Linked DNA regions of Lonchura striata. The protein of the gene in region 1 interacts with the protein of each later gene in a biochemical or structural test. Links are inferred from orthologs where the notes say so. Each region holds a gene or a part of one and is shown in the gene's direction. Other genes may lie near its edges.

Region 1 (7,185 bases):
GACAAATCAATTAGAGCAGCCTGACAAAAATGTTAGTCTTGGCCTTTAGTGAAAATTCTCTCTCCTTGCAACACCACCTTAACAACAGTCTGTGGCTATAGGTGATGGTATTATGCCCAAGACTTCATAATCCTTTACCATTTCCATGTAGGATACGTACTTGCTGTTTGTCTTTCCTCCATCCTGCTTCTTTCCAAGCCTCTCTCCTTCCTCTCCCCCATGAAGAAAATCTTTAGTTCTGTAAATCTCCCTTCTTCTTATTAGTCTGTGAAAAGTTAATCTCTTCTCTAGCTGCCATATAAGAAAGACTGTGTGCTGAGTACTGTCCTTCACATAAATCATACACAATATTTTAGCTGACATGCAACAATACAGGTAGAAAAGCTAATCCTTCTGACTGCAGTCAAATCAGTTTAGGACCCAGTCCATCACAGACCATGGAGAGGCCACCACTTTTGTTCAAACTCCAGCACACTCCTAGAAATAGTGACCAGAAAGAAAGGCCCTTTCCATTCAGTGCCCAGTAACTTTCAGCTCCAGATCCAGGATAAGGATAATCTGCTTTTATGTTCAGTAAGCAGACCTGTTCCCTTCAGATAACGCAATGAAGAAAGCATATTTTATGGAAGACAGAAATTGAGACCAAAACAGACTTGCTGCTGCTGTGGGGACCTCCTATTATACCTGGTATTCAGGGTCTTCATCCCAATGTTGGTGCTTTCAGCACATCAGGTAGGGATGAAAGATGCCATAACTCATGATGAGTGTTACAGGTTTCTGCTCTTGCTCATTTCTGGAAAGTGCGGTCAAAAGTTTCAGCTCCCCAGTTTTGTGAGCCTACTGTTAACCAAGAGAATTGAGCCTGGAACTGGCAGGAGATGAAGGGAGTAAGGATGAATCAATTCAATGAATCAAGGAGCCTACAGGGCTGCTTCAAAACCTGGCTCTTGCTGTCTTGTGCTGAGTGCTAGTTCTGTTAGAACTGTCTCACCAGAGGTGCTTGAGTAGACCAACCCTTTCAGGTATTTAAAATTACAGAACATTGTGAAATAACCTCTTTGGCACAGATTAAGCTGTCCTAGGGCACATGGGCAGCAGTCAAACAGAACTGCATTTTAGGCAGTTTGGACAGAAGAAGTCCATGTGAATTTTGTGGACAGTGATGCACTGATTCATCTGGAGCAACAAGCATTTTCCAGAGAAAGCTCTGAAGGCATAGAGCCCCTTACAGGAGTGCAGAAGTTTAGACTGGTCCCTGTACAGCCCCAGGTACTTTGGTGCTCATTACCTTCAGCAACGTCGCTTATTCTAAAGGTGATCGATACAGAGAATATACTCTAAGAACGTTTTATCACAAACAGCTGGTACTGAGGGTCTTAGCTGCAGGTTTCTGACTGTCTGGCAGGCACTGCATCACCTTTTGTTTTACAGTGGAACTAATTGCTCACCTCGGTTCAGCACAGCCAGCAGCAGCTACAAACTACAAAGCTCAGGCAGTGCCCTCTGTGAGCAGAGAAACATCCACTAATGGGGACTTCTCCTGTACAAAAGGAGGCACATGTGAATACATACACAAACACATCTCAGCTTGCATATAATTAATTTGTTAGAGCAGATGCCTGCAGACCTTTAAGAAGCATATACATTTTCTTTATAATAGATGGTGTTTAGTGCCATGAGGTGCAACAGCTAGCCCTATGCCAGCATAAACTGCTGGTATAATTGCCTGGTGACTTTAATGAAGATTTAAGTAAGCAAAACCTTCCATGTCTTAAACTAACACTAGGCAATGCAAAAGGTCTGTAATTCTCATTATCTTCTCCTAGGTCATACTCCATCCCTTACTAATTGGCTCTATGGGCATCCCATTTTGAGTTACAATATTTACAACCTTATCTTGATAATCTAATGTGCAGACAGGTCAGACTCCAAATGCAAGTTCTTTTTATTCCCATTTCTTTTGCATCATAAGTTCTGAACTGAAACCACACTTATCTGCTAGTGCTTTTCCATGTCAGTGGCTGTTACTGCTGCAACATGGGTGTGACTTGGCCACTGACATTTCAGTGTGACTCTTCTGCTTTAGGGTATTCCTCGTCACTAATTCAAGAGTTTCTTTTGTACAGACATACAGTAGGTCTGTTTCGGGGCTCTTGGGTGGGCTAGTTCTCTTCTAGTTCTATTCCTTTTGCAGCTTATGAGCGTATGCTCACCTGGAGCCTTGTCATGACATAGGACTGCACAACCTCTGATAATCCACTTTCCCAAATAATAATGCTCCCTCTGCTATTTTTTTGTGGTTATTTAATGACCACAAGGATTAACACTTTCCTATGGCTACATTCATTATTTTGAGATTTTGTTGGCAGAAATCCCATGTTAGTCTTCCATTTTTAAGCTGCCTTTTTTTTTAAATTTTATTTTAGGTTTATGTTAATGCTCATGACCAAGAAAGCTTCAAGAATATATATAGCATTATGCATTGTTCAGTTGAATAATATAGGTTTTATTTCCTTCATCTGTGTCAAGATTTATTATCAATTATCAACTTATAGATATACGTGTTTTCTTAAAATTAGCATCTACACAGGCCACACCATACCTACTTATGACAAAATTTTTGTCCTAGAGTACATAACCTATAGACACAAAAGAAAATACCATGAATGAGCAGCACAGAGTGTTGTGTGCAAAAATCCTGAGTGATTTGTACTCAGTATGGCAAAGAGAGGTTTTCAGGTAGATCAAACAATGAAACCAAAGAAGACTCAAAAAAACCCTCAACAAAAGCAAATTAAGCTTTGGCTTGAAGATGCTGCATAAAAATTGAAACATCTTGAGGGTGAAAATAACCCATAAAGAAAAGACCACCTTTAATAGACAAACACAGCAGATAGACAAGTTTCAAAACCTCAGTGCTGAAAAAAAACCATTTGGCATTGATGGGTTACAGAAGTAGCTGGACATGATGCACTAATGCAAATGGTCAGTGTTTTCTGCAGAGCAGCTGACCTCACCTGCAGGCAGAAACCCTGAGCACCCAGGCCTTGATAAGCATTTTCTTAACTCCTGACCTGCCCATGTTCACCTTCTGGCTCTTTCTCTGGATGCTGGAACACAGAGTAAACAGGGCGACGGTGTTCCCACCTCACATATCACTGGCACCGGAGGGCACTGGGCACTTGTAACAGCAATGATGAAAGAGTGCTATTCTGTTAAAGTATAATTCCCTTTAAAAATACACATAAAACCCTCCCAAAATATTCATATCGGTGCCCAGCATTTTAGGGCAAATCATTAAAGAAAACAACGCAAACAACAAATTGCCAAAAATAAAAGAAACATAGAACCAGTCTTTCAAAAAGAATTATTAATGTTGCGAAAGACCATTAACAATGAGCCCAACCATTAAGGAGCACTGCCAAGTCTACCACTAAACCATGCCCCTAAGCGCCACATTACAGCTTTTCTGAATACTTGCACGGACAGGAATCCCACCACTTCCCTGGGCAGCCTTTCCAATGCTTCACTCTTTCTGTGAATAAGTTTTTCCTAAAAAGCTTTCTTTTAGGAAAAATAGGAGGTTTAGACATCTAAACCTCCTGTGGCACAACTTGAGGCCATTTCCTGGCCATTTGCATTCATCCTACCATTTGTCACTTGGTAGAAGAGGCCGACCCCCACCTGGCTACGAGCTCCTTTCACGAAGCTGTCAAGAGCGAGAAGGTGTTCCCGAGCCTCCTCCTCTCCAGGCCAAACATTCCCAGCTCCCGCAGCTGCTCCTCATCTGACGTGTGCTCCAGACCCTTCTAAAAATCCCTCCTCGCCCGCAGCACGCGTTTGAGGGCCCGAAGGAGAGCCTTTTCCAGAACAACGCTACTGTCAATAATGCTATCCATAGCCGGAACGCGTTTAAGCAAGCCCTTCCGACACTGCACGGCGGCAGGAGCCAGCCGCCGGAGCGGGGCCGGCGCTCCCCGGCCGCGCTGCCCTCACTGCTTCCCTTCCCCGCCATGGCGGCAGCGGCTTCCAAGCAGCCGCCGGTCGCGGGCTTTGTTCGTCTCTGCCTGCGCCGCCCCCGCCCCTTCCTTCCCTCCGCTCCCTCCCTCTCCCCTTCCCTCCCTCCCTCCCCTGGCCGGCCCGAGCGCCCGGAGAGGCCCGCGGGGCGAGGGAACGAGCGGGCCCCGCGTCCCTCCTCCCCTGCGAGCGAGTGCCGGGGGTCTCCGCAGCGCCCGCGGCCCCGAGTGCGGCGGGGGAGGCGCCATGGCCGAGCGGGCGCGGGCGGCGCTCTCCGAGTCGGGCTGGTAAGTGGGGCCGAGCTCGGCCGCGCCGCCGCCTCCGCCCGGGGTGCGGGGCGGGCAGCGCCCGTGTCCGAGCCGTGCGGTGCGGGGGATGTCCCGCCCCAGCTCCGCTGGGAGCCCCTCGGCGCCGGGCAGGGGCTGCGCCGCCCGCTGCGCTCGGGCCTGGCGCTGGCTCGCCCTGGAGAGCAGCTCCCGGCCCGTCCCGCCGGCCCTGCCGCGAGGACCGGCACCCCTACCCCGCGGCCACCCCCGAGGTTCCTCGGGATCGGCGGCGGCCTCCCCGCCTGCCCCGGGACTGGCCTCGCCCGCAGGCCTGGCGCCTGCCCGTACTGCTGGGGCTGTAAACTGCACCGTGCGCCCCTTCTGTAAGGCAGGCAAGAAGCAAAAGTGGAGTTAAGGTGGGGTAAATGAACCACACGTGAGGCTTGAACTCGGTTGCTTATGTTTTCTTAAGAGTCCCAGTCGCTGGGCACACAATATCCATTTTGGAACAACGTGTTTCAACGAGTTGTGCTTTTCAAATACCTACTGTAAACGCTTATTTGCTAGCCTACAGCTGAGATTGCATTGTAGGAAGTTTTTATTTTGATTTGGGGCTTTTTTGTTTGTTTGTTTGATTATTTTGTTGAAGTGATTCACTTATTAGTCAATACTGACTTTTTCCCATAACTACTTGGAAAGTCTTTCGACAAACCTAAAGTTTAGTGCTGCCTGCTAAAGCACAAAGCAATGTACGCAAAGTTATTTCCAACGGCATGTTTGAGATATTTCTGGTTTACTGTTTACATTAGTGGTTGTCCTAGATTGTGGTTTCATGTACGGTCTAAGATGGAAAAAGTTAAAGTGGGTATCCTGTGATTTAGAATAGAACAAGACAATTTACTTAGAAGGGACCTATGATGATCATCTAGTCAAGTCACTTGATGAATTCAGGGCTGACCAAATCTTGGTATGTTATTAAGGACACTGGCCAAATTCCTCTTAAACATTTGACTGCCACCCTAGGAAACCTCTTCCAGTGTTTGATTATGCCCTCAGTATAAAGAAATGCTTCCTTATATCCAATTTGAACGCTCTCTGGCACAGCTCTGAACCATCCCCATTCATCTGGTCACTAGATCCAGGCAGAATCTGTCTTTGCTTCCCCCACTCAGGAGGCTGTAGAAAGCGGTTTGCCCCTCAGCCTCCTGTTCTCCTATCGAGACAAGCCAAAGTCTTCAGCTGCTCCTCACAGGACATGCCACCAGCTTTGTTGCCCTCCTCCACATTTAAGGACCTTCATGTAGCTTTCCAGTTTTTTGCACAGTAGTCCAGGTAAGGCCCCACCAGTGCTGAATAAGTGGGAATCACCTCCTTTAACCCCCTGGTGATGCTGTGTTTGTTGGGCCAGCTTTTGCTACTTTGTGGTAATAGTAACCAAACAGAGTAATTAGGTGTCCTTTGCTATGCCTCTTGAATAAGTGTATCAAGAGCCAAAACATTGTTCTAAATGGTTCTGGAGAGCACAGTCCTATGACTCCTGGCTATTGCCAAATTGATACAATCAAAACTAGTTCTGCTACTTTTTATAACATTTGCTTATTTGACGGGAATTTTGGACTGTGACTTGAAACTTGCCCCTCTACTCTTCTGTTATGTAGACCTCTCCAAAATTGGAAAAGTTTTACATAAAAGTAGTTTTATTTTCTTAGTTTTCTTTTCTTGCTTTCTATTGCCTATTCAAAATTTTTTCCCAGTTTTCAGCTCTTGAGTTGTTTTGCTGCCTTTTCAGCTGAATGCATGCCATTGCTTAATGGCTTTCAAGTTTTTGGCAGTACAAATATGAGGTGCCTCTGAAACAATCTGTCCCTTTGCAGTGTTTGCTGCCCTCCTTGGTGGCAGAGACTTTTGAATGGCTGTCAACAGTTGTTACTCTTGCAGTCCTGTAGGGTGGGAGCCAGAGGCTGAAGTTGAAGGGGCAAGTAATGGGCTCATTATCAGGTCCACTGGAATTATGCCTTGACCAGGTTGTATTGGGAAAGGTAGTATAAAAGGGGAGGAATTAATACATATACTTTTGAGGAATGTGAAGTGGAGTGGAAAAATAAATAATGATTTGGAAATCTTGCTTAGCTGTGTTCATGCACTTAAAAAAAGAGTAGTAACCTGAGCACCCATGCTTCTAACTGCTTTGCTGTTGCTCTTATGATTTTTCTCATATTATTAGATCTTAGAGTTATTTACACATCTGTGAGTGAGCCTTCAGTGATGTTTAATGTCGGTTTAGTGTTGGTGATTAAGTAAAGTTTTGTACCAAATTGGTGGTTACTGCTGCTGTCACCTGCTGTCAGAATGATAATATTTCTAGTACAAAAGAAAAACTGAGTTTATGTGTTAAAATCTATCCCCACTTAAACTGCAAAAGCACTGCATGGCATGTCAAGTAAAAAATCTTTGCTTAGCTTAAAATCTGCTAGCTTGTAAAAATCTACCTGTACTGTGGATTTTACAGTAAGTTTCTTATACATTACAGAATTAGAGAGTTAAGGTAGACACTTGTTTATTTCAGTTTCTGCAACTAGTGTTTACCTTTTATAATTCTGAATGAAAAATAAAGTTATTTTTCAAGTAGAACAGTAATAAAGTGTAGTTAATACTGAACAGTAATTATAGATCTATTCCCCTCCCCCAAGCAGGTATTGTCAGAGTAATCTGTTATAAAATTGTCTCTGAATTTGTAATGTTTGCCTTCAGTATATCAATTACATTTTTTGTCAGCTTCTGAAAGGTAAAGGAGCCCTACCTAGTAAACATAACAGTGGTAGGTAAAGCTGGGAGACATTTTTTTCTTTTTATGATGATGGTGGTATTTTATGAAAATGAGTAAAAGGCTCCTGTAGTTTGT
Region 2 (7,347 bases), on another chromosome or scaffold:
CCGGTCCCGGTCCCGGTCCCGGTCCCGCTCTGTCCCGTCCCGGTCCCGCTCCCTCCCGGTCCCGGTCCCGGTCCCGCTCTGTCCCGGTCCCTTCCGCGCTGCTGGGACTGGCGCAGCTCCATGCCGGAGGGATAGGAACGGGGTGAGGCTTTCCGGACAACTTTGAAAGCGCTCCAAGAGACTCCGTGACTCGGTGGCCCCGCAGGGCTCGTGGGTGTCCGGCAGCGGGATCCCTTCGGGCCGGGGCAGCCCCTGTGTGGCCCCAGGAACAGCCACACGCATCTGTACCAGCCCGGGGTACACGGGGACTCAGAGTGTCCGGAGTCCCTCGGCCACGTGGGGGAGAGTCCCGGCTGTGCTTTCCCGGGTGAACGCAAGTTGAAATTTCATGTTTCGTTGAGCATTCAAAGAAAAAAGGAAGGTTGGATTTTGTAGAGGGCTTTTACCAGAGGAAATTAAAAAATATGTATCTGACATATCTGAAGACTTGGTTTTAACTCGCATCCTGATTGTTCCAGATGTTCCCCAGATGTCAAAGGGAACCAGGCATTGAAAGAGAAGAACACATTTGTTTTAATATGTTCGAACTTTAATATTGCCAAAGAATTAAAAGGCCTGGGCTTGTTTTGATTTTTCCTTTCGCTAACAACTTCAGTGTCTATTAATTGTCTACTAATCAAATTGAAGGTGAATTAGTTCCTTTTTATTTCAGCCAGCATGAGGTTGATATACATCCTGATCCTGGCTGCTTCCCAATCTCTTCTCTTTGGGTTTTTATGGTACTGAGCAGCTCTGGGAAAAGTGCTATAAACATTGGCAACGATCGATGCACAACCACGGGGGTAAAAATAGAGAGCTGAGCTCTTTCCACAAAGTGCTTATAAAAACCCATCAACCTGGGGCTTCCCTCTTTATCTCTTCCCTAGACAGATTTCAGGATGTGTGGAAGAGCTGAAAGATGCAGGAAAGGTTAGAAACAGCTTCAGTCCACTGACCAAATCTCCTTAACAGGGCCCAGCATCCCTGGGAAACAGGACAGAGCAAAGAGTCCCTCCATGACTTGGAGAAAGGAGCTGCAGCTTTCAGGGGCAAAATCCCCCGGGGGAGCCCTTGCCTTCTCCCTGGGGAAAGGAGGCACGAGGGAAGGGTGTGCTTCTGCCCAGCCTGACCCTTCTCTTCCCACTGTTTTTTCTCTTTTTTGTATTTCTGCTTAAATGAGACATCAACGTTAATCTAAAATCTAATGTGCAAAAAAAATACACTTTTTCAAGAATCACTCAATATTGTTTCCATGATCTAATCAGGGTGCAAGGGAAGCAGGTGCTCTTAAGAGTCCTAAGGTGAATTTATCTGTGTTAAAGGAGATGCTGTCAGTGTCCGACACTGTTTGTAGCGTTTCGGGTCTGCAGGAACTGTAACCTGAGTGACAGACTGGCACAGGCACAGCGGTCCGTGTCGCTCGAACACAGCAGATACAACTTGTGTGTGTGTTCCCTTAGAGGGGTTGGGTGATACACGTTCTGTGCACCGGTGTGGATGAAGGAAGGGGGCATCTGCACACCATGCGGCACGGCACCGGCGGTTCCCGCGGCACAGCTTCCCCACGGGCTTCGGCAGGAAGGGGAGGCGGTGCGTTGTGCCGGTGTCCCTGTGCCGGTGTCCCTGTGCCGGTGCCCCTGTGCCGGTGTCCCTGCGAGTGACCCGAGCGGCGGCCGCGCCCAGCCCGGCCCGGCCCGGCCCCGCCGCCGGGAGCGCGGGGGTCGCGCCGCCCTGAGCCGCCAGGGGGCGCTGCAGCGGGGGGCGCCAGCCCCGGGGGGTCTGAGTGTGAGAGAATGCGTGTGTATATATATATATATATGTATATATATATATATATGTATATATTTGTATGTCTGTGAGTGCTTATATGTGTGTGTATGTGTCTCTGCATGTACATCTATGTATGTGTGTATATGTCCGTGTATACCTGTATATGTCTCTGTATGAGTGTGTATATGTGTGGGTGAGTTTATATGTGTAAATGTGTGTGTATCCACGCCTGTGCGTACGTATGTGTCTGTGTGTCTGTCTGTGTCTGTCTCTCTGTGTGTCCTTGTAACCGCATATGTGCCTGTGTATGTCTGTGTGTGTATGTCTGTGTGTGTCCACACGTTTCTGTGTGTGTGTGTCTCTGTGTATGTATGTCTGTGTCTCTGTGCGTGTCCGTGTGTCCGCACATGTCTCCGTGTGTGTATGTCTGTGTCTCTGTGTGTCCATATGTCCGCACAAGCCTCTGTGTATGTCTGTGTGTCTGCACATGTCCGTGTGTGTATGTCTGTGTCTCTGTGTCTCCATGTGTGTATGTCCGTGTCTCTGTGTGTCCGTGTCTCTGTGTGTCTGCACATGTGTCCGTGTGTGTATGTCCGTGTCTCTGTGTGTCCGTGTGTCCGCACATGTGTCCGTGTGTGTATGTCCGTGTCTCTGTGTGTCCGTGTGTCCGCACATGTGTCCGTGTGTGTATGTCTGTGTGTCCGCACATGTGTCCGTGTGTGTATGTCTGTGTGTCTGTGTCTCCGTGTGTGTATGTCCGTGTCTCTGTGTGTCCGTGTGTCCGCACATGTGTCCGTGTGTCCGCACATATGTCCGTGTGTGTATGTCCGTGTCTCTGTGTGTCCGTGTCTCTGTGTGTCTGTGTCTGTCTCTGTGTGTCCGTGTGTCCGCACATGTCTCCGTGCATGTATGTCTGTGTGTCCGCACATGTGTCCGTGTCTCTGTGTGTCCGTGTGTGTATGTCCGTGTCTCTGTGTGTCCGTGTCTCTGTGTGTCCGTGTCTGTCTCTGTGTGTCCGTGTGTCTGCACATGTCTCCGTGTGTGTATGTCTGTGTGTCCGCACATGTGTCCGTGTCTCTGTGTGTCCGTGTGTGTATGTCCGTGTCTCTGTGTGTCCGTGTCTCTGTGTGTCCGTGTCTCTGTGTGTCCGTGTGTCCGCACATGTGTCCGTGTGTGTATGTCCGTGTCTCTGTGTGTCCGTGTCTCTGTGTGTCCGTGTCTCTGTGTGTCCGTGTCTCTGTGTGTCCGTGTGTGTATGTCCGTGTCTCTGTGTGTCCGTGTGTGTATGTCTGTGTGTCCGCACATGTGTCCGTGTCTCTGTGTGTCCGTGTGTGTATGTCCGTGTCTCTGTGTGTCCGTGTCTCTGTGTGTCCGTGTGTGTATGTCCGTGTCTCTGTGTGTCCGTGTCTCTGTGTGTCCGTGTGTGTGTGTCCGTGTCTCTGTGTGTCCGTGTCTCTGTGTGTCCGTGTCTCTGTCTGTCCGTGTCTGTCTCTGTGTGTCCGTGTGTCCGCACATGTCTCCGTGTGTGTATGTCTGTGTGTCCGCACATGTGTCCGTGTCTCTGTGTGTCCGTGTGTGTGTGTCCGTGTCTCTGTGTGTCCGTGTCTCTGTGTGTCCGTGTGTCCGCACATGTGTCCGTGTGTGTATGTCCGTGTCTCTGTGTGTCTGTGTCTCTGTGTGTCCGTGTCTCTGTGTGTCCGTGTGTGTATGTCCGTGTCTCTGTATGTCCGTGTCTCTGTGTGTCCGTGTCTCTGTGTGTCCGTGTGTGTATGTCTGTGTCCGCACATGTGTCCGTGTGTGTATGTCCGTGTCTCTGTGTGCCCGTGTGTGTATGTCCGTGTCTCTGTGTGTCCGTGTCTCTGTGTGTCCGTGTGTGTATGTCTGTGTGTCCGCACATGTGTCCGTGTCTCTGTGTGTCCGTGTCTCTGTATGTCCGTGTCTCTGTGTGTCCATGTGTGTATGTCCGTGTCTCTGTGTGTCCGTGTCTCTGTGTGTCCGTGTCTCTGTGTGTCCGTGTGTCCGCACGTGTCCGTGTGTCCGCACATGTGTCCGTGTGTGTATGTCCGTGTCTCTGTGTGTCCGTGTCTCTGTGTGTCCGTGTGTCCGCACATGTGTCCGTGTGTGTATGTCCGTGTCTCTGTGTGTCCGTGTCTCTGTGTGTCCGTGTCTCTGTGTGTCCGTGTCTCTGTGTGTCCGTGTCTCTGTGTGTCCGTGTGTGTATGTCCGTGTCTCTGTGTGTCCGTGTCTCTGTGTGTCCGTGTGTGTATGTCCGTGTCTCTGTGTGTCCGTGTCTCTGTGTGTCCGTGTCTCTGTGTGTCCGTGTGTCCGCCCTAGCCCCGGCGCACGTCTGTGTCCCGCGCCTTGCGCGCCGCCGCGGCGGTTGGGAGCCGCCCGCGCCTTCCGGCGCCGTGACCGGCAGTGACGCGGCGGGCCGCCCGCGGAGGCCGCTCGGCGGGGCGCTGTGCCGGGCGCTCGGGGCGCGGTGCGCCCGTGCCCGTGCCCGCGGTGCCGCCGTGGCCCGGCGCGGGCGGGCTGAGCGGCGCTCCGTCCCTCCCCGGCTCCGCCGGGCCGTGCCCGCGGCTCCGCGCCGCGGCGGCGAAGATGAGGACCGTGCTGATGGTGGCGGAGAAGCCGTCGCTGGCGCAGTCCATCGCCAAGATCCTCTCCAGAGGTAGGCGGGGCGGGTGCCCGTGCCCGCCGCGGGGCCGGCCCGGCCGGAGCGCGGCGGTGAGTGCGAGCTGCCGGCTTTGCACAGGCACCCTGGGCAGCGGCTGCCTTGTCTTGGGGCCGGAGCCCCCTGGCAGCGCTGGCTTCGGAGAGGTTCATCAAAGAACGGGATGTCCCATCACGTTCTGATTGTTTCTATGGGCTGATGCCTGTTTAATCCAAGAATAAAGGAATCTAGTTTCAGTATTTTGCCTTAGAGCATGCGGTGTCTGGAAAGTGCCGATCAAGTAGGCAGTGGCTGTTCTGAGATCTGTGAAGTAAAAGTTTTATAAATATGGAAAATAAAGTTATTATAAGTGTGTGTTCTAGAAAACTAGCTGTATTTTCGTAAGGTTTCATGGTGGGAGGGAAAGGCTGGTGGAGATAATGGATAGTTTAATTTGAAGATAAAATATCCTTTAGGAAAGCCCTGAATTGATACTTACTGAAATGAAAGTTTTATCAATGAGTAGATCTTTCTCATCAATTATCAGAAAGGATCAATGATCAGAAAGACCGTAGCTGTAAGATCTAAGGAAAGGAAGATTTAATTTCACACAAAACTATTTGTTTCACTAGCTGGGGTTTTTTCTACCTCATTAATATTTATGATCTTATTTTCACAGGGAACATGTCCTCTCGCAAGGGACTCAACGGTGCGTGCTCTGTGCACGAGTACACCGGGTCCTTCATAGGACAGAGCGCCCACTTCAAGATGACATCGGTGTGTGGTCACGTCATGACTTTGGATTTCATAGGTATTTGCCTGCTCGTCAAATGTTTTAACTAATATGGCTTGTAGAGCTGCCAGGTCCTTCAGAAAAACGAAGAGGTTTCTTGGTATACAGTAAAGCAAGATCTGTTAGTGTAGAAAATTTTCCACATAAATTTTGAAAGCCAAGTGTTTTGCAATGTGAAGCTGTTTGTTTTATAAATATTTCTTCAGAGCTCCATTTTATATACTTTTGCTTTTCAGGAAAATATAACAGCTGGGACAAAGTGGATCCAGCAGAACTTTTTAGTAAAGCTCCCACAGAAAAGAAAGAAGCTAATCCCAAACTGACCATGGTGAAATTTTTACAGGTATTCTTTCTTAGGAGTAGAATTTAAAGTTAGCATTTTCTATGTGCCTAAATAAAAATTCTTCCAGGGAGTAGCTTTTTGTCACAGTTAGATCTATTTTATTAACATAATATAAATAATTTATTTTTGCTGATTCTTGCGCTGTCTAAAATCTATGTTAAAGTCACTTTTCCCATTGCCTTCTGAGTTTTTTGACAGTTGATATTCTGCTTCTGAGAGTTGGAGCACTGGATGCAAGTTTAACTTTATAACAGCAAGTGTAAGCACAGCTTATAAATGCCTTCTTTAAAATAAGTCTGTGTTGGTTACTGTTCACACTTCACACACCATGCTGAAACCAGGAAAAAAATATATGGGTAGGGAGGGGGGAGATGTTGTTTTGAGTTGCTGAAGAACTGTGCTGATTTTTCTCACAGGTGGAGGGAAGAGGCTGTGATTGTATTGTCTTGTGGTTGGATTGTGATAAGGAAGGAGAAAACATCTGTTTTGAAGTAAGGTTTCAATTTTTAAGACTCACAACACCATAATATATGTCTGACAAGACTATCAATGCATTGTTTTATGAGTGTACAGTAAAATTCAAACTAAACTTGAATAAAGTTTTAAAGGCATAGAGGGCCTTGGTGGAAAAGCCCACATGCTTTTAACTCTGTAAGATGTCAGTTAAAGAGTATAAATAAATTTCAGAGGTGTTGCTCATCTCAGATGAAGAATCAGGCCTCTTAAATGTTAGAACATTCCAGTACTTCAATAATTGGCCTGTATTTCACAGCTGGAGAAGTTATTTTTATGTCCTTATAAAACTTCATCTGTTATCTTTTGTTTATTAAGCAATTAGATTCCTTGGAGCACAGAAGCTGCTTGCAAGTATAATCATGCTGCTTAAATTTTGCTTCTGCACATAAAAAGCAGAGAACACATAGAACAAAAACTTTGCTAAGATTTTTTTTAACATCCAATTCCCAGAAGCCTACATGAAGAGTACTTGTTTGGAGATTTTCTTTAGATTAAAGAAACATGTTTTATGAAGTGATTATTGTAAGTTCCTTTCTTACCCCTGTGTCATTACTTGTGCTTAGCAATGAGTAGAATAAACCCAGATAGACATTGGTACATGTTCACCAAAAGCTGCTGCAGCTGCACTGCTGAATGTCTTTGCCCTTAGCCAAAAATACTGATTTGCTCCCAGCAGTTGCTGTATAGTAGATAATCCCTTCAGTTTTGTTAATTCTTTATATGCTTTTGAGTGGATGGACAAATACTGCTCTGGCTTATCAGTTAATGTGTGAGCATGACATCTTGCTGAAATAAGAAAGCAGTGACACAGAAACAAATATTTTGTGGAGAATGTTTTTTTTTTATCTTTAGAGAGAAAGCCTTTATCTTTCAAATCCTTTTTAAGTACACTTCTGATTTTCTTTAGGTTCTTGATGCTGTTCTTCCTGTCATGAACAAGCCTCGTGGCACGGAGAGGACGATTTACAGAGCTAAATTCAGCTCCATCACCGACACAGACATCTGCAATGCCATGAATCACTTGGGAGAGCCCAATCGCAACGAAGCTCTGTCCGTGGATGCTCGCCAGGAGCTGGATCTGAGGATTGGCTGTGCCTTCACAAGGTGACAGCACAGACTGCAGACAGTTTTGTCAAAGGTTCAAGAGGGGCTCTGTGCCCTCATGGTTTAATGCCAGCCAAACCCCACACAGCCACTCACTGCCTCCCCGCCCCTACTTTCCACGAAGTAGGA

The links.
Region 2: the proteins of TDRD3 (region 1) and TOP3B form a complex in vitro, tested with the Homo sapiens proteins (2 studies listed by BioGRID and IntAct, with this or other methods). The link is inferred for Lonchura striata from reciprocal best matches to the Homo sapiens genes TDRD3 and TOP3B.

What each region holds. Positions count from the first base shown.
Region 1 is NC_134604.1:55,890,682-55,897,866, reverse strand, and holds the start of TDRD3 (tudor domain-containing protein 3), read left to right. Parts: upstream 1-4,172; 5' UTR 4,173-4,263; coding exon 4,264-4,304; intron 4,305-7,185. UniProt on the Homo sapiens protein: Scaffolding protein that specifically recognizes and binds dimethylarginine-containing proteins. Plays a role in the regulation of translation of target mRNAs by binding Arg/Gly-rich motifs (GAR) in dimethylarginine-containing proteins.
Region 2 is NC_134620.1:7,280,929-7,288,275, forward strand, and holds the start of TOP3B (DNA topoisomerase 3-beta-1), read left to right. Parts: upstream 1-4,329; 5' UTR 4,330-4,410; coding exon 4,411-4,480; intron 4,481-5,141; coding exon 5,142-5,273; intron 5,274-5,491; coding exon 5,492-5,598; intron 5,599-6,014; coding exon 6,015-6,089; intron 6,090-7,021; coding exon 7,022-7,218; intron 7,219-7,347. UniProt on the Homo sapiens protein: Releases the supercoiling and torsional tension of DNA introduced during the DNA replication and transcription by transiently cleaving and rejoining one strand of the DNA duplex.